Linked DNA regions of Macaca fascicularis. The protein of the gene in region 5 purifies or fractionates together with the protein of the main gene of each other region. This does not show direct contact. Links are inferred from orthologs where the notes say so. Each region holds a gene or a part of one and is shown on either strand. Other genes may lie near its edges. The genes, in order: C1QBP, DDB1- and CUL4-associated factor 13, SIRT7, NOLC1, FBL, SNU13 and DDX24.

The links.
Region 1: the proteins of FBL (region 5) and C1QBP purify together in Homo sapiens (affinity purification with mass spectrometry; 4 studies listed by BioGRID and IntAct, counting the BioPlex papers as one, with this or other methods). This does not show direct contact. The link is inferred for Macaca fascicularis from reciprocal best matches to the Homo sapiens genes FBL and C1QBP.
Region 2: the proteins of FBL (region 5) and DDB1- and CUL4-associated factor 13 purify together in Homo sapiens (affinity purification with western blotting; 3 studies listed by BioGRID, with this or other methods). This does not show direct contact. The link is inferred for Macaca fascicularis from reciprocal best matches to the Homo sapiens genes FBL and DCAF13.
Region 3: the proteins of FBL (region 5) and SIRT7 purify together in Homo sapiens (affinity purification with mass spectrometry; 3 studies listed by BioGRID, with this or other methods). This does not show direct contact. The link is inferred for Macaca fascicularis from reciprocal best matches to the Homo sapiens genes FBL and SIRT7.
Region 4: the proteins of FBL (region 5) and NOLC1 fractionate together in Homo sapiens (co-fractionation; 3 studies listed by BioGRID, with this or other methods). This does not show direct contact. The link is inferred for Macaca fascicularis from reciprocal best matches to the Homo sapiens genes FBL and NOLC1.
Region 6: the proteins of FBL (region 5) and SNU13 purify together in Homo sapiens (affinity purification with mass spectrometry; 5 studies listed by BioGRID and IntAct, with this or other methods). This does not show direct contact. The link is inferred for Macaca fascicularis from reciprocal best matches to the Homo sapiens genes FBL and SNU13.
Region 7: the proteins of FBL (region 5) and DDX24 purify together in Homo sapiens (affinity purification with mass spectrometry; 3 studies listed by BioGRID and IntAct, with this or other methods). This does not show direct contact. The link is inferred for Macaca fascicularis from reciprocal best matches to the Homo sapiens genes FBL and DDX24.

Annotation. Positions count from the first base shown.
Region 1 is NC_088390.1:5,502,411-5,507,154, reverse strand, and holds the start of C1QBP (complement component 1 Q subcomponent-binding protein, mitochondrial), read left to right. Parts: upstream 1-1,874; 5' UTR 1,875-1,969; coding exon 1,970-2,201; intron 2,202-2,784; coding exon 2,785-2,935; intron 2,936-4,744.
Region 2 is NC_088395.1:99,229,138-99,232,808, reverse strand, and holds DDB1- and CUL4-associated factor 13, read right to left. Parts: upstream 2,370-3,671; 5' UTR 2,304-2,369; coding exon 966-2,303; 3' UTR 872-965; downstream 1-871. UniProt on the Homo sapiens protein: Part of the small subunit (SSU) processome, first precursor of the small eukaryotic ribosomal subunit.
Region 3 is NC_088390.1:88,295,793-88,300,254, forward strand, and holds the start of SIRT7 (NAD-dependent protein deacetylase sirtuin-7), read right to left. Parts: upstream 2,889-4,462; 5' UTR 2,853-2,888; coding exon 2,760-2,852; intron 2,689-2,759; coding exon 2,551-2,688; intron 2,439-2,550; coding exon 2,334-2,438; exon of another isoform or gene 1,490-2,333; intron 587-1,489; exon of another isoform or gene 1-586. UniProt on the Homo sapiens protein: NAD-dependent protein-lysine deacylase that can act both as a deacetylase or deacylase (desuccinylase, depropionylase, deglutarylase and dedecanoylase), depending on the context. Specifically mediates deacetylation of histone H3 at 'Lys-18' (H3K18Ac).
Region 4 is NC_088383.1:111,164,237-111,168,180, forward strand, and holds part of NOLC1 (nucleolar and coiled-body phosphoprotein 1), read left to right. Parts: intron 1-99; coding exon 100-265; intron 266-1,222; coding exon 1,223-1,335; intron 1,336-1,459; coding exon 1,460-1,595; intron 1,596-2,223; coding exon 2,224-2,352; intron 2,353-2,560; coding exon 2,561-2,671; intron 2,672-2,778; coding exon 2,779-3,426; intron 3,427-3,884; coding exon 3,885-3,944. UniProt on the Homo sapiens protein: Nucleolar protein that acts as a regulator of RNA polymerase I by connecting RNA polymerase I with enzymes responsible for ribosomal processing and modification.
Region 5 is NC_088393.1:46,966,831-46,971,555, forward strand, and holds the start of FBL (rRNA 2'-O-methyltransferase fibrillarin), read right to left. Parts: upstream 3,204-4,725; 5' UTR 3,122-3,203; coding exon 3,112-3,121; intron 1-3,111.
Region 6 is NC_088384.1:9,928,235-9,932,938, reverse strand, and holds the start of SNU13 (NHP2-like protein 1), read right to left. Parts: upstream 2,908-4,704; 5' UTR 2,825-2,907; coding exon 2,822-2,824; intron 1-2,821.
Region 7 is NC_088381.1:162,066,628-162,070,251, forward strand, and holds the end of DDX24 (ATP-dependent RNA helicase DDX24), read right to left. Parts: intron 2,846-3,624; coding exon 2,716-2,845; intron 1,185-2,715; coding exon 916-1,184; 3' UTR 642-915; downstream 1-641. UniProt on the Homo sapiens protein: ATP-dependent RNA helicase that plays a role in various aspects of RNA metabolism including pre-mRNA splicing and is thereby involved in different biological processes such as cell cycle regulation or innate immunity.

The DNA.
Region 1 (4,744 bases), on a different chromosome or scaffold from region 5:
GGCGTATGTTGTATTTTGAGAGTCTGGTTTTATTTGAACAGAAATAACTCTACAGAAAGCTCCTGTAAATAATGCTCAAATTTGCACTCGACGATCAAATCCATTAAAAATGAATCTTGTATATGATGTGTATGGCTTGTTTCTTGGGTCTCTTTTCCATTATTCATAGAAAATTATTTAGAAAATATTAAGTGTTAGTCTTATCATGAGTTAGTAAGACACACCTTCTTAGTAGCTTGTATATCCTGGGAAGGTAGGATTGTTGGTTCTTAATCTAAATCTGAACCCCATTTCTGGGTTCTATGAATTTAGTGGAGCAGCTCACAGAACTCAGGGAAACACTTTTACCAGTTTCGTATAAAAGATATGACCAAGGATACAGATGGAGATGAGCAGGGTGGGGAATAGGGAAGAAGCTCCGAGCTGCCACGTCCTCCCTGGGCCACCACCCTCCAGGAACCTCCGCGTATTCAGCTATCAGAGGCTCTCCAAACCCTGTCCTTGGGTTTTTATGGAAGCTTCTGGACCTATCTAAATGATACAAGCCGGCTTCTTGTCCCCAGAAAAATGATGTTCCATTAGAACTTGGATGCAGGGTCGGAGGTGCAGAGAGGGAAGGTCACAGAAATTACTCATGGATCCTGCCCTTCAGGATGTCACAGTCTGGTTGGGTTTAACCCGGTTAAAACCAGCAATGCCAGGAGGTTTCTGTTGAAGAGAATGAAGCCTAAGGGCTGGGTGCGCACAAGCATGAGTTCTAAGCCGATGGAAAAAAGGAGGTTCTAGGAAGGCCTCTTTCAGGAAAACCCTGACCTCTTCCTTTGCTCTTACAACAATCAGCACAGAAGAGTTCTGTGACCAAAGGTTTGGGTTTTTTCCCTCCACACTAAGCAGCAGACACCAGCGGGGTGTCCTCCAATTCAATCCCAACATTATCTACCTGGAGACAGTGTCAGATCCCATGAGACAGTGTCAGATCCCATAGGTTGAGGGCTCAGTCCCCAAGACCGCCCCGACCTTCAGACAGCAATGGCAAGTCTGGGCCTCTGAAACTTCCGACCAGCCCGCTTCAAGTGGGGGTTCCCACGACCCCCCTCTTTGGGTTGTATTAACTCACTGGAGCAGCTCACAGAACTCAGGGAAACACTTTTACCGGTTTCATATAAAGGATATTACCAAGGATACAGATGAGGAGATGAGCAGGGTGGGCAGTGGGGAAGAAGCTCCGATCTTCCTCGCCGTCCCTGGGCCACCACCCTCCAGGAACCTCCACGTATTCAGCTATCAGAGGCTCTGCAAACCCTGTCCTCATGGGTTTTTATGGAAGCTTCTGGACATCAGCATCCCTTCCCCCAGGGCATAGGGTGGGACCTTCTCTGGGAAGGGACTTAAGACCCATAATCAGAAATGTGGGAGATTAGAGTCCTGCATTGGGGCGGGTGAAAGGAGGGCGGGAGAAGGGGAGAGTGAGAGTCTGTTTCCTGAGGCCTAACACACCCAACATTATCACAGAACACTGTAACGAGGGCTATGGGAGTTACGACCCAGGAACTGGGGATGAAAACCAATAAATACATAATATAACACCACAGCCTCCTAGAGGAAAGTGACCGTGTAAGGGGCTGGTGAGAGCTGGGGGAAGACAAGAGTGCATTCCACACAGCCCAAAAGCCTGGCGTGCCTTGAAAACAGTAGGTGGAAGCGGCCACTAGAAAGAATTAAACAGCTTCGGACAGAGGACTCAGGCCAGCGCAGCAAGAAGGCTCCGGAAACCGGATTCGAGGCTTCCCGGGCTGCACCGGAGGCCTCCAGCAGAAGGCGCGATTCCGCCTGGGGCCTTAGGTCCTCAGTGCGCCGGCGCGGGAAGCGCTTCCGGGCAAGGGCGGGGCTTCCGGCGGCGCTTTAGGTCGCGGGGTACTTGGGCCTGGATTGTCCTTTGCATCTGCACGTGTTCGCAGTGGATTGCGCGATGCTACCTCTGCTGCGCTGCGTGCCTCGTGTGCTGGGCTCCGCCGTCCCCAGCCTCCGCGCTGCCGCGCCCGCCTCGCCTTTCCGGCAGCTCCTGCAGCCGGCGCCCCGGCTGTGCGCCCGGCCCTTCGGGCTGCTCAGCGTGCGCGCAGGTTCCGAGCGGCGGCCGGGCCTCCTGCGGCCTCGAGGACCCTGCGCCTGTGGCTGTGGCTGCGGCTTGCTGCACACTGAAGGTGAGGTTCGCGCACGCGGGCCAGGGGTGTGGTTTGCGGTTCACGGAGGGGAAAAGACCAGGAGTGGGGCCTGCAACCGACCTCCGAGGTCTGGGACATTTTTCCATTGATTGGCAACCAGCGGGTTAAACCCACGTGTGATCATATTCCCCCCACCTCCCCTATCCACCAGTTTCATTTTCTGTTGGTAGGGGGGTGAATAAAATTAAATACTAGAGGGTACCTTCATCCTTAGTCTTATTCTCTCGAAAGTGGACTTTTGGGAAAGCCCAAGGTCGTGTTTGAAAATAGCATACGATACAACTATCGTTTGGCAAGTGGAAGAGGATGATCGGAAATTCTTCTGCTTTATAGCGGAAAGTGGTAATGCGTTCATTGTTGGAAATCACTTTTCCAGCATCAGGCTCAGCTTCCCACTAATATTATGGTATTTTTACAGATAAGGAAACTGAGGCTTCTAGAGTAACTGTAATAGCAGAGAGATTAGAAATAGTCCAGGTTTCTGGCTGCGATAACCAGGGTAATAGTTTTATGTTTTAGACTAACTGGCTTTCCTTTTTATGTATATGGATTTCTTTTCTAGGAGACAAAGCTTTTGTTGATTTCCTGAAGGATGAAATTGAGGAGGAAAGAAAAATCCAGAAGCATAAAACCCTCCCTAAGATGTCTGGAGGTTGGGAGCTGGAACTGAATGGGACAGAAGCGAAATTAGTGCGGAAAGTTGCCGGGGAAAAGTAAGTACTGGTCTGGGGATCCCAGGGCACCGACTCCCTTAACCTTGCAAGACCCGTCCTGGGTCATCCCTAGAAGAGCCTTGAGTTCAGGTGTGGATAAATGGTTTTCAAGAGAGTGAAGGATTCAATTGGACAGCTTCATAAGGTCCAGGCAGTCCATTCACTGAACACAAATTTGCTGTGGGCTGGTTACTAAGGAGACAAAAATGTAGCGCAAAAAAGTACTGACAGAATCTGTTTGATCTCTGATTTACAGCGCTGATACAGTAGCACCCTGCTCTCTCTAATGTTTAGCTTGGGTGAAAATGCAAGGCATGTAACTTATATGTAACAGGATGGGGTTCCACTGTAGTAAGGGCTGCCATCAGAGGCGGGGAGTTTGTGACCTAAGTCAGGTGCCCCACCTTCTCCTAAACTGTTAGTGTTTACACTTTTCTGCATTATAGTCATCCATAATCTCATTACACAGATAGACATTTGTCATCTTCCAGATTTTTAAATTGAGGCTGGGTGCAGTGGCTCACGCCTATAATCCCAGCACTTTGGGAGGCAGAGACGGCAGATCATGAGGTCAGGAGATCGAGAACATCCTGGCTAACACTGAAACCCTGTCTCTACTAAAAATTTTAACAGGGTGTGGTGGCAAGCACCTGTAGTCCCAGCTACTCAGGAGGCTGAGGCAGGAGAATCGCTTGAACCCCCGGGTTTCAGTGAGCCGAGATGGCGCCACTGTACTCCAGCCTGAGGGACAGAGCAAGACTCCATCTCAAAAAAATAATAAATAAATAAATAAATTGAATTTTCTTTATAATTGACCTTATGATGTATATGTAATTCTTTTTTAAAATCACAGCTTTAATGTGATTTAATTTATATGGCATAAAATTTACCCATTTATTGAAGTTTATTAAATTAAGTGGTTCTTAGTCCTCACAGAATTATGCATCGGTTACCACTACCTAATTCTAGAACATTGTTGTCAATCCCCAAACAATACCTATTAGCAGTCACTCATTATTCCTCCCTCTAGCCACCCCAGGTAATCACTAAGCTACTTTATGGATTGCCTCTTTTGGACATTTCATATAAATGGAATCATACAATTTGTAGCTTCCTCCCCACCCCACGGAGTCTTGCTATTACCCAGGATGGAGTGCAGTGGCACGATCTTGGCTCACTGCAGCCTCTGCCTCCCGGATTCGGACAATTCTCCTGCTTCAGCCTCCTGAGTAGCTGAGATTACAGGCATGCGTCCAGTTAATTTTTGTATTTTTAGTAGAGATGGGGTTTCGCCATGTTGGCCAGGCTGGTCTCAAACTCCTGACATCGTGATCCGCCCTCCTCGGTCTCCCAGAGTGCTGTGATTACAGGTGTGAGCCACCCTGCCCAGCCTGTTTACATTTTTAATTGTTGGGTTGTAAGAGTTCTTTAGTTTTGACCGGGCACGGTGGCTCACACCTTTAATCCCAGCACTTTGGGAGGCCGAGGCAGGTGGATCACAAGGTCAGGAGATCAAGACCATCCTGGGTAATGCAGTGAAACCCTGTCTCTACTAAAAGTACAAAAAATTAGCCAGGTGTAGTGGCGGGCGCCTGTAGTCCCAGCTACTCAGGAGGCTGAGGCAGGAGAATGGCATGAAGCCCAGAGGCAGAGGTTGCAGTGAGCCGAGATCACGTCACTGCACTCCAGCCTGGGCGACAGAGTGAGACTCTGTCTCAAAAAAAAAAAGAATTCTTTAGTTTTTCTGGGTATAGTGATCTTACCAAATTAATGATTTGCAAGTATTGTTCCCCATCTTGTGGGTTTTCT
Region 2 (3,671 bases), on a different chromosome or scaffold from region 5:
AGGAAACTCACTCATGATAACAAAGAGAAGAAATTTAGAATAATATCAGATAAAGTTAACAAAGAGATTGAAATAATTTTTAAAAATAAAGCAGAAGTTATGGAGTTGAAAAATGGAATTGACATACTGAAGAATGCATCAGAATCTCTTAGCAGAACTGATCAAGCAAAGAAAGAATTAATGAGCTTGAAGACAGACTATTTGAAAGTACACAAAGGAGACTCAAAGAAAAAGAATAAAGAGATTGAAGCAAGCCCACGAGATCTAGAAAATTTGACAGGTAAGTCGAAGATACAAGGACTGAAAAGAAGGAATAATAAAATACCTGTTTGTGGCCCAAAAAGGAGAGGAACCAGGAGAACCATCCCTAAGTAGATATCCACGAAGACCATTCTTGTGATGCTTTTTTTTTTCTTTTTTTTTTTTCCTATTTCAGCAGCTTGCTCCCTGAGCTTTTTTGACATGGTTCCGCACTATTCCCGATTGATTAACATAAACACAACATTCCCCTTCAAGGACCAAACAAATACCCCTTTGGGCTGCTATAAGCAGATTTATGCCATAGCCATTTTGGAGAACAATTTGTGCTAGTAAGTTGGCCTGATTTTGGAGGACTTCCTGGGTGTCCGAGATATGTTTGAAGTTGGTGGGGAGTTCCATTGAGAGGGTATATAAGTATGGGCTGTGAGGCTCATACCTATTATTCCCATACTTAATCCAACGGCAATCCCTAGGGCAATCAAATGTACTGCTCGGCTTTCTCTGCTAGAACTGTAAAGTGGGATTGGGAGGAATTGACTGGAAGGAACAATTTGGATGTCTAGGGCTAAGTAAACTAGTGTACAAGTTCTAGTTCAGTTGGCTGGAAGACTTTTTTTTTTTTTCTAGTACCAGCACTTTTATTTGTAGAGTTCTCAAATCAAAAGTAACAAATAATTATACATCAGGATTGTTAGGAATACCAATTATTTTACAACTGCCACTATATGTTTCTTCTTCTCTGACACAATTGGCACAGATCCAGGCTTGCTGTGTTTAATACGATTCACTTCCTTTCGTCGACGAGCTTCTTTCATGATGCGCTGTTCCTGAATCTGGCTGTAGATAGATTTTGGTAGATGTCGATGACGAGCTATACGTTTTATATGAGGATAATGCTGAAATTTTTCCTTCAATTTCTGGTTATAATCTTTGGCTGCTTTTTCTCGTGATGTAAGCACACCCAATTTTTCAGAAGCATTAGCTTTCCACAGGCGAATGTTCATTTCATCAGATCCACACATAATATACTTGCTGTCGGAAGTCCATTTTACACAGATAACATGCTGCATTCTCTTTGTGTGATATACCTCCCTGCTTCGACTTTTGTCTACAGGAAAGATTCGAATAGATTTATCGAAACTAGCAGACACAAACTCCTTCCCAGTGGGAGAGTAATCCACATCAAGCACTGCAGATACATGATCCATATGGACCATTACAGGAGTGTCCAGTGCACGCATATCAAAAGTATATAAGTTATAATCTTCATTTGCTGCTGTAAAAATGAAAGCTTCCATAGGGTTCCAACAGATTGTATTTGTTCTCATATCTAAGATAACCTTTTTCAAAGGAGTAGCTTGCCTCATATCGTACAGTACTATATTCCTGTCAGATGCACAACTTCCCAAGAGAAAAGTCTCAACTGGGTTAAATTTAACACTACTTATACTGTCAAATCCCCAGGTCATTGAACATATAGGATTAGTTCTTTGTTCATCCCAAATGTCTACTTGCTGTCCACATGTGGCAAAAACAGCTTCTTTCCAGTGATGATCAATCCCAGTATAGACTGTCTTTCCTAATATCGTATGTAATGGCTCTTCCTCCTCTCCATAGCCTGGCCCATCCATTTTCCACTGCTTCACAGTTTTGTCATCACCAACAGTGAAAAAAGAAGTCCCACAAAAGCGAGTACATATTCCTCGTACAAAGCCTTCATGTGCTTGTATTGTACGGATACAATTTCGCTGAGTCAGGTTCCAAATTCTAACCTCTCCATCGCATGCCCCAGAAAGGATAGTAGCCAGGTTCTTTGGATGCTTTGCCAAGCAATTGACTCCATCACGATGACCATCCAGAGACTCAAGGAATGGTTTTGCAAATACTCGTTCCAGTTTGGTAGCATTTAAAGCTCTTACATATTCTCGTGGGACCTCAAAAGGATGTAAAGTAGGATCATAGTTTCTCGGAACTCTCTGTAAGTCCAACTTGGTTTCGCGGACATAATTGTCCGGATTCCGGCTCAGCATCTTCACCTTCATCTTGCTTGCTCCTACGGCCGGACTCCACGAGCTCTCCGGTACGAGTTCCGCCCACCGCCGCCTACCAAGACTTTTCAGTAAAAACTTCCCTCACTCGGATTTTCTGCAAAGATAACCAATTAGAACAATTTCTAAAAACCAGATGCCTAAACAATATTTTATCCTTGATGACCTTGTTTGTAACTGTAATTTCTAAATTACCAATCACCAAAGCAAGGAGAAATGAACTTCAAGGTTATAATTTACAGAGATCCCAAAAACATCATTTGTTTCTCAGAGGAAGAATGCTTCCTTGGATTTAAGGCAAGATATTAAACTTAGAGTGAAGAAACGAAGTGTGTTTTGCCCTTCTGACCTGAAGAAGAAGTATGAAGCAGCTAGAGTAGCAGTTCTAAGAGGCTGTAAGGCTTGGATATTATAGTTTGCATTTGGGTGGATTTTGTTTTCCCAGAATAACTGAAAACATTGAGAGTCTAGAAAAATCTGAGATTTGGGGTTGCTGAACATGAGAATCTGTAGGCAATTGTTAGGGGAATTCATAACCTTGCAATTTTGCCAAGGAGTTACATCAGGATAAGTGTCTGGAGAGGGCCTCACTGTACAGAAGTGACAGTTTATATTTTGGAGACTTGGGGCATTGAGGTTGGCTAGGCCTGATATTCTAACTGGTACCAAATTATATTTTCCCCCGACACATATTTTCTATTGGTACAATTTATACTTACAGTGTAGTTGCAAAGGGGTTTAGGAACATAACCAACAGGGTTGAAGTAATGTTTGTTTTCTGTTGCTTAAAAAAAAAATAGAAGCTTAATGTTTGAGTTGGACTTGTTTAAAAAGGGGGTCTACAACAGGGGATTTTTTCTTGGGTCAGGAAACCTGTCCTTTGAGAGGGTTTATGTTTTTAGCTTGGTTGCGTATTGACTTAAATAGGCAGAGAATGAAGCTACCATGCCTTGTGTATGCTTTTTAGGTTCCTGTGGGAGTGGGGAAACAGGAATTTGGGATACAAGGTGGTGTTAAAAGGGATGAAATTCTGAGTATAAATAGGGAATGTGGAATCATACCTTGCAGAGACTCATAGTAAGCAAAACCAACAATCCTTTGCACACAGAATGTTCTTTCCTTAATAGCTTATGAGTCCCTTCAAGTACAGTGTAATCCATAAGACTTGGCAGAGTAAGGTTCATTGTAAGTGTTAATGCTAGTTGGAGAGATATCCAAGTAACCAGGATGAAGCCCGACATGTTAAAGGTGGCAACATATAGGGAATTCAGGGAGACAGGAAAGGAGAAGGACTATAAAGAGTATAAGAAAAATATTTAAACAAACACCTAGTACCTTGGTATATTGTTGTTGTGGTGTGGA
Region 3 (4,462 bases), on a different chromosome or scaffold from region 5:
TGGCTCATCCTTCCAGGCTGCACGCAGCCCTGCCTGTCCCCGGAAGCCTCTCTGGCACCGAGCACAAAGCTGGGCTCTGTGGCACATGTGTCCTCCACACCGCAGGGGAAGACTAGTCATGTTCCTAAGTGCCCCCAGGGCCGAGCCCACGGCTCACACATTTAGCAAAAGGTGAATCCCTGCTGGGCGCGGTGGCTCAAGCCTGTAATCCCAGCACTTTGGGAGGCGGAGACGGGCAGATCACGAGGTCAGGAGATCGAGACCATCCTGGCTAACACAGTGAAACCCCGTCTCTACTAAAAAATACAAAAAAAATAGCCGGGAGAGGTGGCGGGCGCCTGTAGTCCCAGCTACTCGGGAGGCTGAGGCAGGAGAATGGCGCAAACCCGGAAGGCGGAGTTTGCAGTGAGCTGAGATCCAGCCACTGCACTCCAGCCTGGGCAACAGCACGAGACTCCGTCTCAAAAAAAAAAAAAAGGTGAATCCCTAGGTGGGGGCAGGCAACTGTCTATTCTCACGTCCCAGTGCTGACTGTTCCCGCTCCACCTTAACAAAGGCAGAATAGGCGGGGCGCGGTGGCTTATGCCTGTAATCCCAGCACTGTGGGAGGCCCAGGTGGGTGGATCACAAGGTCAGGAGATCGAGACCATCCTGGCTAACATGGTGAAACCCCGTCTGTACTAAAAACACAAAAAATTAGCCAGGCGTGGTGGCGGGCACCTGTATTCCCAGCTACTTGGGAGGCTGAGGCAGGAGAATGGCGTGAACCCGGGAGGCAGAGCTTGCAGTGAGCCGAGATCGCGCCACTGCATTCCAGCCTGGGCGACAGAGCCAGACTCCGTCTCAAAACAAACAAACAAGCAAACAAACAAAAAAAGGCAGAACAACTTCTCCAGATGAGATAAGCATCTAACTTTCCAGGATTTCAATCCTGTGAAACAAACTGAGGCCAGAGAGGGCACAGAAGATATCAAGGTGCCTTCTGTTCCCTTTTGGGGACTCCTGACTCCTGCTTAAACTCAGAAAAATGCACCATCCCCCGGCAGTGGTTTGGACAGTCACATTCAAGATAGAAACCTCAGTTACACTCAGATGAAATCCACAAGCTGCATGTGCTTCTAGTTGCCATTGCAAGCTCCATAAGAGATCACATGACTGTTACATAATTACATGACTGGACTTTTTTTTTTTTCTGAGACAGAGTTTCGCTCTGTCGCCCAGGCTGGAGTACAGTGGCACGATCTAGGCTCACTGCAACCTCCGCCTTCCAGTTTCAAGTGATTCTCCTGCCTCAGCCTCCTGAGTAGCTGGGATTGCAGGTGCCTGCCACCACACCCGGCTAATTTTTGTATTTTCAGTAGAGACAGGGTTTCACCATGTTGGCCAGGCTGTTCTTGAACTACTGACCTCATGATCTGCCCACCTCAGCCTCCCAAAGTGCTGGGATTACAGGCAAGAGCCACCGCGCCCAGCGTGACTGGACTTTTACATGTGACTTGTGGAGGGAGGAGACCAAACGCCAGGGCTCCAGGTATTTGAGTCAGCAGTGCACTCCCTTTATGCATTCTTCCTGCTAAGCCTCTGCTCTTCTTTGCTTGGAGTGCCTCATTCCCACCTTCTCCTGTAAATCTCACCCATCCTTCAAGGCCCAATCAAGGCTACCTCCCACAAAAAGCCAACCCAGGTAGGTTTCCCAACTCCAAGAGCACATAGTGTGTGCCTGGGTTTGTTCTAGTGATTCAGCACAGCCAGCTTTACATTATGCTTATTTGTTCACATACCTGATTGTCACCTAAAGGCTTCCTGAGAACAGAAATCACCTGGCCTTCAGATCTGCTACGCCTACGCATGCCCAGCACTCCACACTCACCCATCGGACTAGATGGACGACGTGCCAGCTACACTTTCAAAGCTAGTGATGTCCCACAGCCCAGGATAACTTGTCAGTGAAACTTCTCAAAACACAATGCAATTCTCTTCTTCACCTGGTGTATTCCGGCTCTTACTGTGTCACTTTCTACTTATCTTCCCTCAACATGGAGAGAACACAGTGGAGAATCACGACAGCTTTGGGCTTAGCTCTGTCCACATAACCTGGGGGTGACTGCGAGCAGTCAGCTACTACAGCCCATTCGTATCTCTGCTCCTTGCCTGTTTTTAACTGGCTGTACCACAAACTAAGCGTTTAAAAAGCGTTTACCTTAGGTAAGTTTTGGTCATTTCGTGTTTCTCTAAGAAAGGGAAAAAACCTTAAAGCTGCTTTAAAGGCGAGTTTTTCGCGATTACAGGAGCGCGTACTCCGTCCTGGGGTCCGCCCCCGCCTCCCTCCCTACCGTGCTGATTCCCGCGCCTGTGTAGACGACCAAGTATTTGGCGTTCCGGACGGCGCTGGCCAGCTCCCGGACCTTCCCTCGCAGCTCCTCCGGGTCGTCGCACACCTGCCAAGACGCCAGGGTGGTCACCGCCCCGGGCCGCCCCACCCGGGACCGCCCGTCGCCCCGGCTGCTCCCGAAACCGGGGGCGCCCGCGGCCGCCGCCCGCGGAACTCGCCTCCTCCTGCCGCCGCTTCAGGCCCTCGCGCCGCCGGCTCCGGCCCTGCAGCTCCGTTACCAGGTCCGCGCTCTCGGCCAGCAGCCGGCCCTCCTCGGCGCTGCGCTCCGCCGCCGCCTTTCTCAGGATGCGCGACACCTGCGGGCAGGCGGGCGGTGAGCGGCGGCGCGGGCCGGGCATAGCCGGACCGGGGAGCGACGGCGGCGTACCTGGCGGAGGCGCTCCCTCTGCTGCTCCTCCCGCAACCTTCGGACCCGCTCCGCAGCTTTGCGTTCCGAGCGGCTCAGACCCCCGGCTGCCATCGCTCCCCTGGAGACCCGCTCTTCCGCTTCCGCCTCACACGGCAGGCCGCGCTCAGGGCGCATGCGCAAGACGGGTCCCGCCCCCACCCACCTCTTCCGGCTCCGCCCGCCGCGTCGCCCCAAAGAAGCACCTGCCAGTCTCTTTAAAAGGTTTATTGATCATATACAAAATAAAGAAAACCTTATATATCACAAACATACACTATGTACAGCAATAAATACCCGGGGGGCCAGGCCCAGTGCTGCCCCTCCTGGACAATAATTTAGCAATAAATACTGCGCAGGGCAGGGGTGGGGCACCAAGGCCACTGCCCTGCCCGAGGTCAGGCCCCTGCCAGCCCTACACGAAGTGTGAGCGCTCGGGCCTCACCCCGCATCCAAACCCCAGCCCCTCCTCACTTAGATCTTTAATAACCTCCATCCCACCCCAGCACATCCCGGGGTCTTCTCCCACACACACACAACCTCCCCTGGCTAGACCTAGGCAGGGCTGGCAGGGGGACTGATCAACTCTGCTTGGATCCACCTCTCAGTGCCAGGAGAGCAACAGGGCTGGACACGCGGGCAGCCCTTGTCCTGTTGCCAGGAGAAGGCTTTCTGTGCCCACTCCCGTTTGGTTAAAGGCTTCAGGGACTAGCAGATTGAGGGGGTGGGAGGAAGGGCAGGGATGGGACACAAGGTTGCTGGAGGGGTCAAAGCCCAACTGGGGTCACCAAGAACAGGGAGGTCTCACAGTTTATCAGGGACACACTCTAGCTCAGACTCAAGGGACACCCATGGTATCAAAGCTGCTGCTCCAGGGGCAGGGTGGAAATGTGTGGGACTGGCCCAGCAGGTACGGCACACACCCAGGACACAGGCCAGAGGCAGGACAGGCATCAGTCTCAGACATGCCCTGCCTCTGTGTGGCACTGATTATGTACTTCACTCTCCCGACCTGCTCCAAGGCCAGACAGCCAACAGGAAGGCAAAAATACACCAAAAAGAATTATTCAGTGGCTTCTGGGGGGAAAAATCGTTAATGTGTTGGTTCCTTTCACCAAACCACAGCCTAAAAAAGTAACTCACAAGATCCCAGAGCGGAAACGGTGCAGCAGGCCGCAGCTCAGACTTTCCAGATGTGGATGGGAGCTTTGGCCAAGTGGCCACTCCAGAGGGAGGCAGCAGGGACAACATGGGACCTGACCATCGTCCCAAAGCAGGCTGCAGCCGCTCAGAGCCGTGGGCCGGGCCCTGACCACCGGTCAGAAGTGTGCATGCTTATCTGAAACGTGCACCAAGAGCTGAAGCCCCAGCAACACCAGCGCCACCCAGAGCAGCAGCCAGGGGCCTCACTCTCCAGGTGAGAGGTGACTTGTCCCTGCTGGGTAGTCCTCTGAAATCTGAGTGTCCATGTTAGGATAAAGGAGGAGTTGGGGCAAAGTCAAGGTGGAAGGGAAGACATATATCACGGTTTACTTGGCGGACAAGTTTGAGAGACCTGGCCTTGGCCAAAGCCCTCGATTCGCTGTGTCAGAAAAACTGAGGTGAGAAGAGACCACCACCCTCTCAGTAGGAAAGCGGGATTAACAGAGATCAGAAGGACAGCACATTCACATCTGCACATGAAC
Region 4 (3,944 bases), on a different chromosome or scaffold from region 5:
TACTGCTGCATTAAGCCCCTAAAAATAAAAGGAACATAGGATGCCCTTTGGGTACCTAGAAGCTTTTGTTGATTTCTCTCCTTGTGTCTTTTCTAACAGAAGGGAGTTAAGCCCCAAGCCAAGGCAGCCAAAGCTCCTCCTAAGAAGGCCAAGAGCTCTGATTCTGATTCTGACTCAAGCTCCGAGGATGAGCCACCAAAGAACCAGAAGCCAAAGATAACACCTGTGGCAGCTAAAGCTCAGGCTAAGGCCCCTCCCAAACCAGGTACTGTTTCTGTTCCCAAGAGGCTGGGCTGGGAACCAGATTGCTCTGGGGACTTGTGTTAAAACTGCTGATTTGGCACAGGGGTGAAATGGTACTGGTTGTTGAACTGGAGGTATTGATTACTGGTCTTTTAATTTTAAAGGTTTTACTAATAACAAGATTTCATAGGAGCTAGTAAATAGAGAAACAGTTATTGCAGCAAGGAAAAATGTATATTTTTTAAAATGATATCCATTTGGTATTTTTTTGTGACATTTCATAGACATTTTATGTTCTTACACATCCCATTCCACTGTAACCACTTAAATATCTATTTGTTGTGCTTTTCACTGCCTTTTTTATTCTTGTACGTCATTCTATGAGACAAATGAGAATTTTTCTTTTTTTCTGTAACTTGAGGGTTAGGTTATTTCTCTGAATGGAGGTTGAAGTGAAAGATTTTAGAGGGCATATTGAGATTATTTATGTCATCTTTTCTTAGTTTTATTCCTGCCATGGGATAGGAAAGGCATCCTTTGATGTGGTAAACCATGGCATTCTCCTTGATGGCTGCTCTAAAGTTGAAAGAATTGGTGGACTCCTGGCCAGGCACAGTGGCTCACGCCTATAATCCCAGCACTTTGGGAGGCTGAGGCAGGCGGATTGCTTGAGGTCAGGAGTTCAAGACCAGCCTGGCCAACATGGCAAAACCTTGTTTCTACCAAAAATAAAAAAACTAGCTGGGCATGGTGGTGGGCACCTGTAATCCCAGCTACTCCGGAGGCTGAGGCAGGAGAGTTGCTTGAACCACTGCACACTGCTCTGTGCGACAGAGTCAGAGCCAGACTCCGTCTCAAAAGAAAAAAAAAAGGGGGGGAATTGGTGGACTTCTAAGTTCTCTGCTCATAGGAAGGAGGTTTTTCATGGTCCTGACTTGCCCTATTACTCCTTACTCTTTCTTTTTCTTGGGTATTCCAGCTCGAGCAGCACCTAAAGTAGCCAATGGTAAAGCAGCCAGTAGCAGCAGCAGCAGCAGCAGCAGTAGCAGTGATGACTCAGAGGAGGAAAAGGCAGCAGCCACCCCCAAGAAGGTCTGGGCCATAACTTCGGTCAGGGAAGAGGTGACCAGGGTGGGGTGTGTGTGTGTCTCCATTCCCTGGCAGGATTGGTTGGATCAGCATTTTCCTGTGGTAATCAGTTTTCTTTCCAATGCAGACTGCACCTAAAAAGCAAGTTGTGGCCAAGGCCCCAGTGAAAGCAGTTGCCACCCCTACCCAGAAGAGTTCCAGCAGTGAGGATTCCTCCAGTGAGGAGGAAGAGGAGCAAAAAAAACCCCTGAAAAATAAACCAGGTGACTGGACATGGAGAGTCAAGCTGTATGACTGTGGTCAGGGCCCAGCTGCAGTAATCACATGGACCTCTCCATAGAGCTGCTTGAGCGTCCTCATGACATGACAGCTAGCTTCTCCCAGTACTAGTGATCTGGGAAAGCAAGGAGGAATCTCCAGTGCCTTGTATAACTTAGACTCAGAAGTGACACCGTGTTCTGTTAGAACTGAGTCATTGGCCGGGCGCGGTGGCTCACGCCTGTAATCCCAGCACTTTGGGAGGCCGAGACGGGCGGATCACAAGGTCAGGAGATCGAGACCATCCTGGCTAACAAGGTGAAACCCCATCTCTACTAAAAAATACAAAAAACTAGCCGGGCGAGGTGGCGGGCGCCTGTAGTCCCAGCTACTCGGGAGGCTGAGGCAGGAGAATGGCGTAAACCCGGGAGGCGGAGCTTGCAGTGAGCTGAGATCCGGCCACTGCACTCCAGCCTGGGTGACAGAGCGGGACTCCGTCTCAAAAAAAAAAAAAGAACTGAGTCATGATTCTGGCCTATACTCAAGGGGAATTAAGCTTCATTTCTAGAAGAAAGTAGTATCAAAAAATTTGTAGACATATCTTAAAACCATCATACTATCCTTTTTAAACAGGTCCCTACAGTTCAGTCCCCCCACCTTCTGCTCCCCTACCAAAGAAGTCTCTGGGAACCCAGCCTCCCAAGAAGGCTGTGGAGAAGCAGCAGCCTGTGGAAAGCAGTGAAGACAGCAGTGATGAGTCTGGTGAGTCAGAGGGATGCAGCCTCCCCTCAGTGTGGGTCTGGAGAAGGGGATGAAGAATAAGGGAGAGAGAAAGCCTTCCATCCCTCCATTGTTTTTTGCTTAAAGCAAGACAGAGCTATGGCTCTGTGTGTGTCTTTGCATTCTTTTTATTGCTGTCCTGGTTGGGTTGGGACTCTGGACCCAGCATAATGCTACAGGTTCTCCTCAGATTCAAGTTCTGAAGAAGAGAAGAAACCCCCAACTAAGGCAGTCGTCTCTAAAGCAACCACTAAACCACCTCCAGCAAAGAAAGCAGCAGAGAGTTCTTCAGACAGCTCAGGTAAGGCATATGGAGGCCCTCAGTTCAGTGAAATGCTCTCAGGCAGCTGCTAAGGGCTCCCCTGAATCTGAATTGGGGAGCTGTTGATCCCATCCCTCTGTGTCTAGACTCTGACAGCTCTGAGGATGTTGAAGCTCCTTCCAAGCCAGCTGGTACCACCAAGAATTCTTCAAATAAGCCAACTGTCACCATCAAGTCACCTGCAGCAAAGCCAGCTGCAACCCCCAAGCAATCTGTGGGCGGTGGCCAGAAGCCTCCGATGAGAAATGCTGACAGCAGCTCCAGTGAGGAAGAGAGCAGCTCCAGTGAGGAGGAGAAGAAAAAAAAGACGGTGGCCACCACTAAGCCCAAGGCGACTGCCAAAGCAGCTCCGCCTCTGCCTGCCAAGCAGGCTCCTCAGGGTAGTAGGGACAGCAGCTCTGATTCAGACAGCTCCAGCAGTGAGGAGGAGGAGGAGGAAGAGAAGACAGCTAAGTCTGCAGTTAAGAAGAAGCCACAGAAGGTAGCAGGAGGTGCAGCCCCTTCCAAGCCAGCCTCTGCAAAGAAAGGAAAGACTGAGAGCAGCAGCAGTTCTTCCTCTGATGACTCCAGTGAGGAGGAGGAAGAGAAGCCCAAGGGCAAGGGCTTTCCCAGACCACAAGCTCCCAAGGCCAATGGCACCTCTGCACTGACTGCCCAGAATGGAAAAGAAGCTAAGAACAGCAAGGAAGAGGAAGAAGAAAAGAAAAAGGCAGCAGTGGCAGTTTCCAAATCAGGTCTGTACCCAGTAAACATGCCCTCTGGGTTTTGTCCCCCCAAATCAGGATGGGATATACTCTTTGAGAGTAGGGTAGTGAGAGGAGGCCCACCACTGGGCTTCCAGTTGTGGAAACTGGGAGGAAGAACAGGAAACTGGTCTTTTTTTTTTTTTAATAGAATCTTACTCTGTCACCCAGGCTGGGGTGCAATGGCATGATCACGGCTTGTGCAGCTTTAACTTCATGGGCTCAGGTGATCTTTCCACCTTAGCCTCCTGAGTAGCTGGGACTACAAGCATGCACCACCATGTCTGGCTCATTTTTTAACTTTCTATAGAGACAGAATCTCACTATATTGCCCTGGCTGATCTCAATTTCCTGGGCTCAAGCAATCCTCCTACCCTGGCCTCCCAAAAGGCTGGGGTTACAGTTGTGAGCCACTGCACTTGGCCTGAGTCTGGCTTTTTGTTTTGTAGGTTCATTAAAGAAGCGGAAGCAGAATGAGGCTGCCAAGGAGGCAGAGACTCCTCAGGCCA
Region 5 (4,725 bases):
CACTGCACTCCAGCCTGGGTGACAGACATTCAGTATCAAAAAAAAATAAAAATAAAAAAATGCAGTGCCCATCCTATAGTGCTGTAAAGATTTAATGCCTTGTACACACAGAGCACTTCACATATACACTATCTGGCACCTACTTTGAACATCATCATTCAAACTCAGGGGAACGGGTCTCCTCTTCCCTCCTTATGCACCTTAATGGTATTAACGATGAAAATGTAATTTTTAATAGCTACTCCTAATTTGATCTTTTAAAATGAACAGTTTCCTTTTCAAAACTCCAGAACATAACCAAGAGTTGTTCACTTTTTATCTTCTATCCCCCTTCAGTCCACTTTCCACACAGCAACTAATAAGTGCTGTTTCTGTTTTGTTTTGTTTTATTATACTTTAAGTTCTAGGGTACATGTGCACAACGTGCAGGTTTGTTACATATGTATACATGTGCCATGTTGGTGTGCTGCATCCATTAACTCGTCATTTACATCAGGTATATCTCCTAATGCTATCCCTCCCTGCTACCCCCACCCCACAACAGCACCCGGTATGTGATGTTCCCCTTCCTGTGTCCAAGTGTTCTCATTGTTCAATTCCCACCTATGAGTGAGAACATGCGGTGTTTGGTTTTTTGTTCTTGCAATAGTTTGCTGAGAATGATGGTTTCCAGCTGCATCCATGTGCCTAACAGCACTCAGATCTCATTATTTTCTTGCCCAAACCCTCCAACAGTTTTCCAAAGCCAGGACCTTCATTTAGGGGAGATGCCACAGCTAGGTTTATGAAAGTCTCAACCCAGGCCTAATAAAAAGGAAGTACTGGCATGTGCACGGGGCGGAGTGGGCAGGAGTGTAAACTTTCTTTTTTTTTTTTTTTTGAGACGGAGTCTCGCTCTGTTGCCCAGGCTGGAGTGCAGTGGCCAGATCTCAGCTCACTGCAAGCTCCGCCTCCTGGGTTCACGCCATTCTCCTGCCTCAGCCTCCCGAGTAGCTGGGACTACAGGCGCCCGCCACCTCGCCCGGCTAGTTTTTTGTATTTTTTAGTAGAGACAGGGTTTCACCGTGTCAGCCAGGATGGTCTCGATCTCCTGACCTCGTGATCCGCCCGTCTCGGCCTCCCAAAGTGCTGGGATTACAGGCTTGAGCCACCGCGCCCGGCCAACTTTCAATCCCAGATACTCAAAACATCTCATTTCAGGTCCTGGAGCTTTTTGGGGGAAAATGTACCAAAAGTACCCACTCCTCAGAAAAAACACATGTTCACACAAACTTTTCCAGTAAGTTCTTTTTTGGGGGGAAGGGGGGTTCCACAAACTCCCTGATTTAAAATCTGCTTTCCTTCCACAGCCTTCTCCATCTCAAAAATGGCAATTCCATCCTTCCAGCTACACACCCCCAAACCCTTGGTTATCCTTGACTCTGCTCACACACCCACATACAATCTGTTGGTTCTGTCTTCAAAAGCATGTAAAACCGTCAGCATGTCCACTGCTTCCATCCTGGTCCACCACACCACCTCCTAGATTACAGCAACAAGCTTCCCACCGATTTGCCTGCTTCCACATTTGCCACCCTGAGGTCTTTCACACATGGAAGCAAGAAGAATCCCTTTTAAAAATGTCAGACTGCACCACGCCCCTGCTCAAAAGCTCCCAAAGGGTTCTCTCACTCAGACTAAAATCCTTACTAAAGAGCTAACACCTGACAACTTTTACAACTTCACATTCTACCACACAACGGAAGAAGGTTGGAAGAAGGGGTATCCTCCATTTCTGAGGTAATCATAGACCAGGATGCCTGCAGGCAAGTCAGGATCTCAATAGGAGAGATACCTGGCCTACAATCCCTCAGCCCACTTCATCAGGAGATCCCCCAAACACGGAAGAGAAAGGGAGCTTGGGAGAAGGGCACGGATCCACAAATCTCCTGCCAGGTGACCCCAATCTCTCCACACAAACACACACAAAAAAGAAAAATAAAGCCTGTTCCAGGAAAACAGACCCTTTGGGCCATGGTGGAAAATTCTCCAAACTCAATGAAGCAAGTTCTCACACAGACGAGTGGGGGTTGGGCAGGCCAGATGGAGGAAGTGCTCAGACACCACGGAGAAGGATTCTAATTTTGTTCTCTTTGAGAAAGATAAAGGCAACAGCTAGAGCCAATACTATTATGTCAAGCACTGTGCTATTTTTTTTTAAACGTCGCTTAATCCTAACTGGCGCCTTTTTATTGATGAGAAAACAGAGGCTCAGAGAGGTAAAGCCACTTGCCCAAGGTCACACAGCAGGCTAAGAAGCTGAGCCAGAACTGAAATACTAAACTGAGGCCCTTCTGCTGTCAAAGCCAGGACCCTCATCATTCCACCATGAAGGCAGTGGGTTCAGCAGAATCTAATGGAAAATCGAAAGAATAAAACCACTTACGTCCTGTGACAACCACCCACCCCCCTACCCCAATCTAATGCCGAGCTTGTTAAGTCTCGCCCCGGAGGTGGAAATCTTAGTCCCCAAATCTCCACTCCATCCCTGGGGATCCGCCCCCCTGTAAGTGCAGAAGGCGGGAAAGTGAGCCAGAGTGCCGCACACGGCCAACCGAGGAGTCCTCCGCTCCGGCCCACTCGGAAAAGCTGGGTTGGGGGATAAGGGGATGGTGGTGGTGGCAGCGACAGGGAAGGCAAATAGGGGCTTCCCACACACATCTCCAGGACCCAAGGTCAGGAACTCTCCATCTCCGACCCAAGGCTGATTCCCAAAACACGCCCAGCTATCCAAGACTCCAGATGCCGGGATCCAGACTCTAGTCCAAGACTCCTGAGTGCCGCCTCCTGCCCAATATCCAAAATCCCTATTAGACGGCCTCAATGAGACGAACCCCAGGTCAAGACCCCCAGTGCCAGGCCCAAGGCCTTCTTCGACTCACGACCGTGACCTCCGAAGCCAGTCACTAACCCCTAGACCTCCTGGAATCAGGATTCCCCTTCCCACATGAGACCGGATCCGTGCTCAGAACCCCTGCCCCCAGGCCAAGGCCCCACCCCTCCGATTCTGGCCTGGCACCCGGATTCCCGCCCGGCCTCCGTCCCTGATCCTGGACCCCACCCCAGCCTGACCTGGCTTCATGGTGAGCCCGGGTTTGTGCGGCTCCGGAGCCCGCGGCGTTCACAACTCCACGAGTCCGGCGCTTTCGCACGTGGAAAAGAGCGCAGGCGCGCGGCGACGTGCAGCGCGTGACGCAACCACGTAGCCCCGCCCCGGCCCCCTGCCCCGCTTGGAGCTCGGCGCACGCACAGTGGGCGAGGATTCTCGAGCCTATCGAAACTAAGCCGGTTACCCTCACTCTCTGCCTTCCCAGCCTTTGCTTGTGCAGCGGTCTCCCTAAACTCGCTTCCGGTTTCCTCTTCCGCAGTGCGAGCACCCCAATAATCAGGGCTCATAGCGAGGCCTTCGCACGGGCTGTGCCCTCTGCCCCCTCTTTTGTATTTCTAACTCCCTGAGGTCCCTGTACACCCAAAACGGCTTCCCTGACACATTTCCAGCGCCAAGAACAGTGACCGACTCTGTGCTTCCATTCATACATCCGAAAAACATTTACCGTGCCTCTCATGTATACCAGGCGCTGTTCTAGGAGCTGGGAATACAGCGGTGTACGAGACATAAGAATCTCCACTCTCGGCCGGGCGCGGTGGCTCAAGCCTGTAATCCCAGCACTTTGGGAGGCCGAGACGGGCGGATCACGAGGTCAGGAGATCGAGACCATCCTGGCTAACACAGTGAAACCCCGTCTCTACTAAAAAATACAAAAAACTAGCCAGGTGAGGTGACGGGCGCCTGTAGTCCCAGATACTCGGGAGGCTGAGGCAGGAGAATGGCGTGAACCCAGGAGGCGGAGCTTGCACTGAGCTGAGATCCGGCCACTGCGCTCCAGCCTGGGCAAGAGAGCCAGACTCCGCCTCAAAAAAAAAAAAAAAAAAAAAAAGAATCTCCACTCTCCTGGAGTTAATCTTTTTAATGGAGGAAATGGACACCAAACATGTTGAATGTTAGAAGGCAGTAAGTGCTTTGGAGAAAATCATGGCAGGGAAAGGGGATAGAGATTTTGGAGGGCAAGTGATTTTTGTTTTTTTGGCATGGTGGTCAGGGAATGCATCAGGTGACTTTTGAGCTAAAGAGCTGAAGGAAGTGAGGAGTGAGGCATGCACCTATCTAGGGGAAGGGAGTTCCAGGCAGGGAAGAGATCTGCAGATGCAGAGGCCCTGAGGAAGGAAAGATACGGGAAGTTGGAGAGAAAATGAGGAGGGTGATTGGGGCAAAGTGAGCAAGATGGAGAGTGAGAGGAGATAAGGGCGGGTAGCTAACAAGGGCAGATTGTGAGGAGCTTTGTGGGACATAGTGAGGACTTTGGCAGTAAGATGGAACCATGGAAGGGTTCCAAGCAGAGAAGGAATGTGATCTGACACAGGTCCCTCTGGCTGCGTGTGGGAAGCAGACTGCAGGCGTGAGGGTGGAAGCAGGAAAACCAAGGACTGGCTGCTGCCATGAATCAGAAGGAGACAAGGATGGACAAGATCAGAGTGGGGGCAGAGAGCGGCGTCAGGGGTCAACAGATTCTGCTTAAGTATTAAGAATTTTGTGGGCCGGACGCGGTAGCTCAAGCCTGTAATCCCAGCACTTTAGGAGGCCGAGGCGGGCGGATTACGAGGTCAGGAGATGGAGACCATCCTGGC
Region 6 (4,704 bases), on a different chromosome or scaffold from region 5:
ATTTTTTGAGATGGAGTTTCGCTCTTGTTGCCCAGGCTGGAGTGCAATGGCACAATCTCAGCTCACCACAAGTTCCGCCTCCCGGGTTCAAGAGATTCTCCTGCCTCAGCGTCCCGAGTAGCTGGGATTACAGGCATGCGCCACCATGCCAGGCTAAATTTTGTATTATTAGTATAGAGACAGGGTTTTGCCGTGTTGGCCAGGCTGGTCTACAACTCCTGACCTTGTGATTCGCCCGCCTCGGCCTCCCAAAGTGCTGAGATTACAGGCGTGAGCCACCGCACCCGGCCAACACCTGGCTAATTAAAAAAAAAATTGTTTAGGCTGAGTACGGTGGCTCACGCCTGTAATCCCAGCTCTTTGGGAGGCCGAGGCAGGCAGATCACTTGAGGTCAGGAGTTTGAGACCAGCCTGACCAACACAGCAAAACCCTGTCTCTATTAAAAAACAAAAACAAAAAATAGCTGGGCGTGGTGGTGCGTGCCTGTAATCCCAGCTACTTGGGAGGCTGAGACAGGAGAATCGCTTGAACCCGGGAGACAGAGGTTTCAGTGAGTCGAGATCCACCTGCCTCGGCCTCCCAAAGTGCTGGGATTAAAGGTGTGAGCCACCACATCCGGCCATACAAATATGTTTTATTTGATACTACAGTAGGGATTTTATTTTTTTTTTTTGAGACAGAGTCTTGCTTTGTCACCCAGGCTGTAGTGCAGTGGCACGATGTCGGCTCACTGCAACCACTGCCTCCCCGGAATAGTGATTCTTCTGCCTCAGCCTCCTAAGTAGCTGGGATTACAGGTACGCACCGCCATGCCCGCCTAATTTTTGTATTTTTAGTAGAGATGGGGTTTCACCATGTTGGTCAGGCTGGTCTTGAACTCTTGACCTCATGATCCGCCCACCTCGGCCTCCCAAAGTGCTGGGATTACAGGTGTGAGCCACCGTACCCGGCTGGAAATTTTGGTTAATAATTTATCACCTTTTATTTTATTTATTTATATTTTTTGAGACGGAGTCTCACACTGTCACCCGGGCTGGAGTGCAGTGGCGCGATCTTGGCTCACTGCAACCTCTGCCTCCCAGGTTCAAGCGATTCTCCTTGCCTCAGCCTCCCAAAGAGCTGGGATTACAGGTGCCCGCCACCACGCCTGGCTAATTTTTTTGTATTTTTAGTAGACAGGGTTTCACTATGTTGGCCAGGCAGGTCTTGAACTCCTGACCCCATAATCCACCCGCCTCGGCCTCCCAAAGTGCTGGGATTACAGGCATGAGGCACCGTGCCTGGCCCTGTCCCACATTTTAAAATAGATATACTTAAAAATATTACGTGGAACCCCCAAAGTACATACAACTATGATATGTCAATTTAAAAAAACTTTTAAAATTGCTGTTGTTTCCAACAACCCATTCTCTGGAAATCAGGATCCTCAACTCTCAATAAATATCAAATTCATAAGAGGAAAACTTCAGGAATCTGAACAGCCATCAAATACCTAAATGTTTCACTATTAGTAAACAAAAAGTTAAACTCAATTTTAAAACCAAACTACCTAGCTTATAAACACTAATTGAAACTTGCTTAGGGTGTATTTATTCGCCTTTCAATTTCTTCAGAGGTTAAATAAATTAATGAATGATAGCATACCACCAGCCAACCTAAATCCCTACCTAGCGTGATCAGTTTGGTTTCCCTGTACACCAGACAGCCAAAACTTGCAAGGTTTTGATTGGACAACAAATACTGCGTGCTCACTCTGTGCCAAGCATGAGGACTAGATGTTTAACATGCTTTATTTCATCTGATCCTCACAACATCCTGATGCACTGTCATTCCCATTTTACAGTTGAGGAAAACTGCAAAGTTCAACCTGAGACCATCCGATTCCAAAACGTTTCAGGGAACTGCATAAAAGCGAGCACTGAGTTTGAAAGCTTCGAGTTCTAGGCTCAGCCACGCACTAAGCTTCAAAATGCACGGGAGGAGGTTTTGGGGGGAGTGCTACCGCCGGGATCCAAGCTCCGCTGGAAGGATTAACTATAGACGTTACAGTGCTTTGCAAATTCTTCCCTCCTCACCAAGTGCCAACCAAAACGACTACGCCAGGACACACGTTTTAGAACTTTCCCTAGATATTTAAAAGTCAGAGACGACCAAGAATTCAGAGACGCCGCACGTGGTGCTACCAGACTTCTGGGTTTTGAAGCCACCACCTTGCGGGAGAAGCCCTTCCTGCGCTCCAGGCCGTGAGTCGCGCTCACTTCATGTTCCCCACAGCCCCCAATTGCCAAAGTCTCCTCTAGGTCCCTGGCGCGTGTGACTCGCGGCGAGCACTAGGCGCACACCCACAGGAGATCTCCTGGACCCCAGCAACGGGGGTGGGGTGAGGTAGGGTGGGTAGGAGAGGTTGATCCGAATCCCAGGGTCCCACGCCATCGTAGATTTCGTACTTAAAGAAACAAGGGGAAAAAAAAGTTGGAGCCAAATTTTCTTCACCCAACTTTTTGCCCTCTCCCACGTGGGTTGGTCTCTTTCTCCCGCTAGGCCATGCCCCCTCCGCTCGCCGCAGACCTTCTGCCACGCAAACAGATCGTGCGGCAAAGCACCACAGCAGCGGGGATCCTGAGGTTTCCTGAGTTCTAACCTCGGGCCAGGCTGTTGGGAACCCGCGGCTGCTGGAGTTCTAACTCAGGGCCCGGCGGTTAAGACCCAGCGCCGGCGGATGAGACGGCGCAGGGTCTAAGCCTTCATCTAACAGGCCAGGGAGTGAACGCAACCCCGAGTCTCCTGCTTCCCGGTCCCTTGGCCGGCGAACGCACTCACCATGGCTGCTGTTCCGCGGGCTCGGCACTCCTAGGAGAGCGCAGCCGACTTCTGAGCAGCGTTCGCCTCCACCGGAAAAACTCACTGAAGCAGCAGCGGAAATGGCCCCGCGCGGCAGGAAGCAAAGATGACGCTACGCAAGCGAGCTAGCGGGCCCCGCCCCCTACGGGGCACTGGCGCGGAAACTGGCTCTGTGTTGATGAAGGAACGTACTTTGGCGTTCTTATGAGCTGTCCAGTACAAATTATTGGCAGAAACAATGAATTAAAGATTCAAAAAATAACCCACCAGTCGGTCGCAGTGGCTTATGCCTGTAATCCTAGCACTTTGGGAGGCCGAGGCGGGCGGATCACTTGAGGACAGGAGTTCAAGACCAGCCTGGCCAACATGGCGAAACCCCGTCTCTACTAAAAATACAAAAATTAGCCAGGCGTGGTGGCGGGCGCCTGCAAACTCAGCTACTTGGGAGGCTGAAGCAGGAGAATCGCTTGAACCCCGGAGGTGGAGGCTGCAGTGAGCTGAGATCGTGCCACTGCACTCCAGCACTCCTGCTGGGGCAACAGAGCGAGACTCAAAGACCAAAAAAACAAAACAAAACAAAACAAGGCCGGGCGCGGTGGCTCACGCTTGTGATCCCAGCACTTTGGGAAGCTGAGGCGAGCGGATCACCTGAGGTTGAGAGTTCGAGACCAGCCTGACCAACACGGAGAAACCCCTGTCTCTACTAAAAATATAAAATTAGCCGAGGGTGGTGGCGCATGCCTGTAATCCCAGCTACTCGGCAGATTGAGGCGGGAGAATCGCTTGAACCTGGGAGGCGGAAGTTGCAGTGAGCAGAGATTGCGCCATTGCACTCCAGCCTGGGCAACAAGAGCAAAACTCGGTCTGAAAAAAAAAAAAAATTCAGCCACTAAACGGTTAAGTCCTGGCTCATTATGATTGGCTGACGTCCCTGCCTGCTCAGATATTTATTTTGAATAGAACCTTTGGGTAAAAGAGTCTTCAGGGTAGCATTTATTTTCCCACCAACACTGATCCTAAGATGGGAAAAGTAATTACCCCATGGGAAATCAGGATACTGCAAGCAACGAGAAAGGGATGCTGAGTGGTTAAACAATAATACCTGTATTCAATACAGTGTTTATTAAATGTTTGATAATAGATAGAAGGACAGGCAGATCCAAGTATCTCATAGGAAGAAAGAAATCAAGCAGACTGCAGGTTATATAACCCCATCACACATTCAGGGAACTTAATCTCTTCATTCCAGAGGATGGGGTTGTTTAAAACAAGTTCTTCCTCTTAATTACTTTTGAGCAATTCCCCAATACTGTCCTTACCTGCACCAAGAGCATGCTAGCCAGCCCTGGCACCAGGGTCAGAGTTGAGGATGGGGCATCAGCCCGCTTTGTGAGGTGGCCTCAGTGACAGGGGTGCTATGATGTGGCAGCTATCCTACTGCAGCTGGCTGCATCAGATGTGCCAGGTCTGCCCCCTAGCTCCCAACACCATCTGCCTGGTCTAAACTTTGCCATGTTGTTGTCACTGTTGGGTGCCTGTGCCGTGGTGGGGCCATTCCATGGCCCTGAGTGGGAGCCAGTGCAGGGCCTGCTTTCCCAGGATCACAGCTGCAGGGACCCTCAGTGCTGTGGCAACCTGCTTGTCCTCTGCCTCTTTCTGGTCTGGCAGGTCCGGCACTATTGGCACCAGGTCACCAGGACCCGCTTCAGCACAAGGAATGTCATCAAGGTGAGTGGGCCCCATACACTTTCACCCTCCTTCCCTCAGCACCATGATTGTCTCTGTCACTTGTTACAAGGACCTTGTTTTATGGCTGGTGTACCAGAAATGAATCACAGGGAAACTCAGGCTGCTCGGGGAGA
Region 7 (3,624 bases), on a different chromosome or scaffold from region 5:
TAAGCATGGGATACTAAGGGAGCCCCAGGAGAAGCACTGCCCCCACTTAGAGGCTCAGGACTAGAGGATCCATAGCAGTGCTCTGGGATGGAGAAGACCAAAAGGCAATCCAGACCGATGGAAAAGCCTATTCTGCACAAAGGCTCAGGACAAGAGAAGGGGTGCATGGAACTGTGGGCAGGAGCCTGCTCTGTCACAGAGGAGGGGAGTGGAGACAAGGCTGGGGCTAGATCCTGAGGGCTTCACATGTCAGACCTGTGACTGTTACTGTTGACTCTGTGATGTGAGGGAAGCCTGAAGACAGCAACCTCATTCCTGCCCACCTCCCACAGTGGCTCAGACAATAGCCAAGAGTGTGGGAGAGAACTAAGGAGCTATTAGGGTGCTGCTCTGGGTAAAGCAGGAACATGTGCCTCTTGAACATTCCAGCCTCTTGCTCCATCCACACTGTCCGATCTTGGCCTGCAGCCAGAGGCCTGACACTATTCCTGTCTTTTCAAGGGCTTAGCACTGTGCTGGCCCAGGAGAATCATCAAATTAATAATGAAACAAACGACACCATGCCCCCAACCATCTTCTAGCTAAAAAAAAAAAAAAAAAAAAAAAAAAAAAAAAAAAAAAATTCAGGATGACACAATGGCTCCGACCATTGTTTTTAATTTATGAAATCAAGTTGAACACACAAGAAGCCTATAAACACTGCAATACAGAAAAATTAAGCTGCTGCATAGAATTCTTACTCCAAAACAATGCAAATCTGCATGAGGTCTCTCCCGCTATGGGTGTGAGAGGAAGAGAGGGAGACATTTTTACCTGGGGTTGATGGTGGAGTGAAACACAAGGGTGGGAGAGGTTTTGCAAATAGCCAGAGAACAGAGAGCAATGTGCAGTCACTAACACACTTGACCAGGGCAGTTAATTTGCACTTGTACTTGGCTGTGGCTGTTCCGGCTGCGGCTCCTTTGGCTTCTTTGTCTTCTTCTGCTGCTTGGAGAGACAGCTTAAAGCAGACTCGCGCTTACTTGGGGCAGACACAAGCAGGGGCGGCTTGCCAGACTGAGTGGGATACTTGGTTTTCTGGCTCTCCGTAAACAGCGGCTGGGAGAGCAGGTGGCGCAGCTCCTTCTTCAGAACCTTCATCTGCTTTTGTCTCCGACGCTCTTCTTGCTGGTCAGCTTTTCCTCCTTGAAACACAATACAAAAAAGATCCTATTTACTATGGTTTGTAGAAACATTTTGTTTCCCTTGATGGATAACACAATGAAAAATGTTTTAGAACTACTTTAGGGAGGCAGGGTTCAAAAGTTCTCTGAAGAAGCCAGTGGTGGCTTGGCAGGGGCTGTAAATGGATAACATCTAACCATCTGCGGGGGATACGCAGGACCGCTCTGTCCTTTTACTTCATAAAAATCCTCCAAGGCTGGAATTATGTTTATAGATGAGGCAATGCAGGCTTAGAGAAGTCACCTGGCTCACATCACAGAGCCAGCCATCAGACAGAGCCCAGAACCCAAGTCTCCTGACTGAAGATCACTTTTCTTCCTATGACCCACCCACTTACTGCCCACCTAGGGTTTGGTGACTTCACAACTACAACCACCCACTGCCCCCCGCCCCCCGCCCCCCAGGAGACACTGAATGCTTCCTTGTAGCCCAGCTGTCCTGTGCCTTGCCACCAGTGCTGTGACTGCACATGGAGAGGCTGGAAGAGCCAAAGGGTTCCACCTCAGCCTGTCTTTAGGAAGGGAAGCCGGGCCCAAGCCCCAACCCTGAGCCACCAGGAGGACCAGCTCACTGTCATCAAGCCCACTGGTTTGGCTCCTGGCTTCCATGCTGAGCAGACAGCAGTTAGTCTGTCTCTGAATTTGCTGACTTGGGCACCGAGGTGTCAACATCTCTGCTGAGCCGCATCCCTGGTGGTGTGGAAGGAGCATGCAGTTCTAGATTTGGTTCTACCACTTCTTAAGACTCAGGAGCTTTCTCGAGCAGGGACCGAGCAGACTCATCCCTGAAGCCTCAGCCTCTGGTCACATACAGAGTAGCAGCTCAGGAAATGCCTTGTGACAGAGCTGTTGCCCTGCAAAAAGTGCCTCTGCTGTGAGTATCTAGTTCCCATATGTAAAAGGAGAGTAATTCCTGCTGTGTTCATGTCATGAGAGTGGAGAAGATCAAATGAGATAATGGCATGGAAGTGCTTTGTCAGCTTGGAAGGCAGGTGTAGTAGGAACCATAATGACAAGTAACTTAAAATGTAATACTTTCTATTTGCCAGGCAATACCACAAGCACTTAACATTTTTTAACTCAATCAGTCTTCACAACAATCCCATGAAGTAGGTAGTTGACTACTTCCATTTTATGGCGGAGAAAACTGAGACACAACAGAGGTTAAATAACTTGACTCAGTAACATAGTTGAGGCAATGAGCCGGCATTCTAACACAGGCAGCCTGGCCAGAAAGCCTGCTCCCTTCCTCACTGTACTCCACTGCCTGTCCATGTAAGAGGAGGCAGCTAAGGGCACAAGACAGAGACAGAGGAAACAAAGACTGACAGAGGCCAGTAGGCTCATCTGGGACTAGGGCCTGTTAGCAAAGAGGGGGAAGGACGTCTTGCTGATTCTGACAAGATCCACAGTAGTAGAGATGGTTCCAACAAGGCAAAAGTTAAAGAGAGATTTCAACTTCCTTAATTCCCAATCCCGCCCAAGGGCTTACCCTTATACATGTCTTCTTCCAGCTCAATCTCCAGGGCAGCTGCTGCCTGCTCAATCCAAGAGTTGTGCAGGCAAGCCTGGAAGTTCCGATACTCAGATTTCTCAATCTGTCGAGCTAAACGGATTCGCTCCTGGGGGGAAGTAACAGAAAATATTCACCTGAAACAGAGTTCAGGCCTCTGGGAAGCAAAGCCTCACTTGAGTTGTGTTTGTGTGTTTAAGGCAGGTATCACTCTGCTGCCCAGGCTGGAGAGCAGTGGCACGATCATGGCTCACTGCAGCCTCAACCTCCTTGGATCAAGCGATCTCCCACCTCAGCCTCCCAAGCAGCTGGGAGGCACCACCATGCCTAGCTATTTTCTTTTATTTTTTTTATTTTTATTTTTTGTAAAGACAGGGTCTCACTGTGTTGTCTAGGCTGGTCTTGAACTCCTGGGCTCAAGTGATCTTTCCACCTCAGCCTCCCAAAGTGCTGGGATTACAGGCGTGAGCCACCATGCCCAGCAAGTAGTGTTTTTAAAAAGCTCTTGAGCCAGGCACGGTGGCTCACACCTGTAATCCCAGCACTTTGGGAGGCCAAGGCGGGCAGATCACCTGAGGTCAGGAGTTTGAGACCAGCCTGACCAACATGGAGAAACCCTATCTCTACTAAAAATACAAAAAAAATACAAAATTAGCTTGGCATGGTGGCACATGCCTGTAATCCCAGCTACTCGGGAGGCTGAGGCAGGAGAATCGCTTGAACTTGGGAGGCGAAGGTTGTGGTGAGCCGAGATTGTGCCATTGCACTCCAGCCTGGGCAACATGAGTGAAGCTCTGTCTCAAATAATAATAATAATAATAAATAAACACATAAATAAATAAAAAGCTCTTGAGATCAGTGGTGAGATGCAGTTCAGTTCCTATTGAA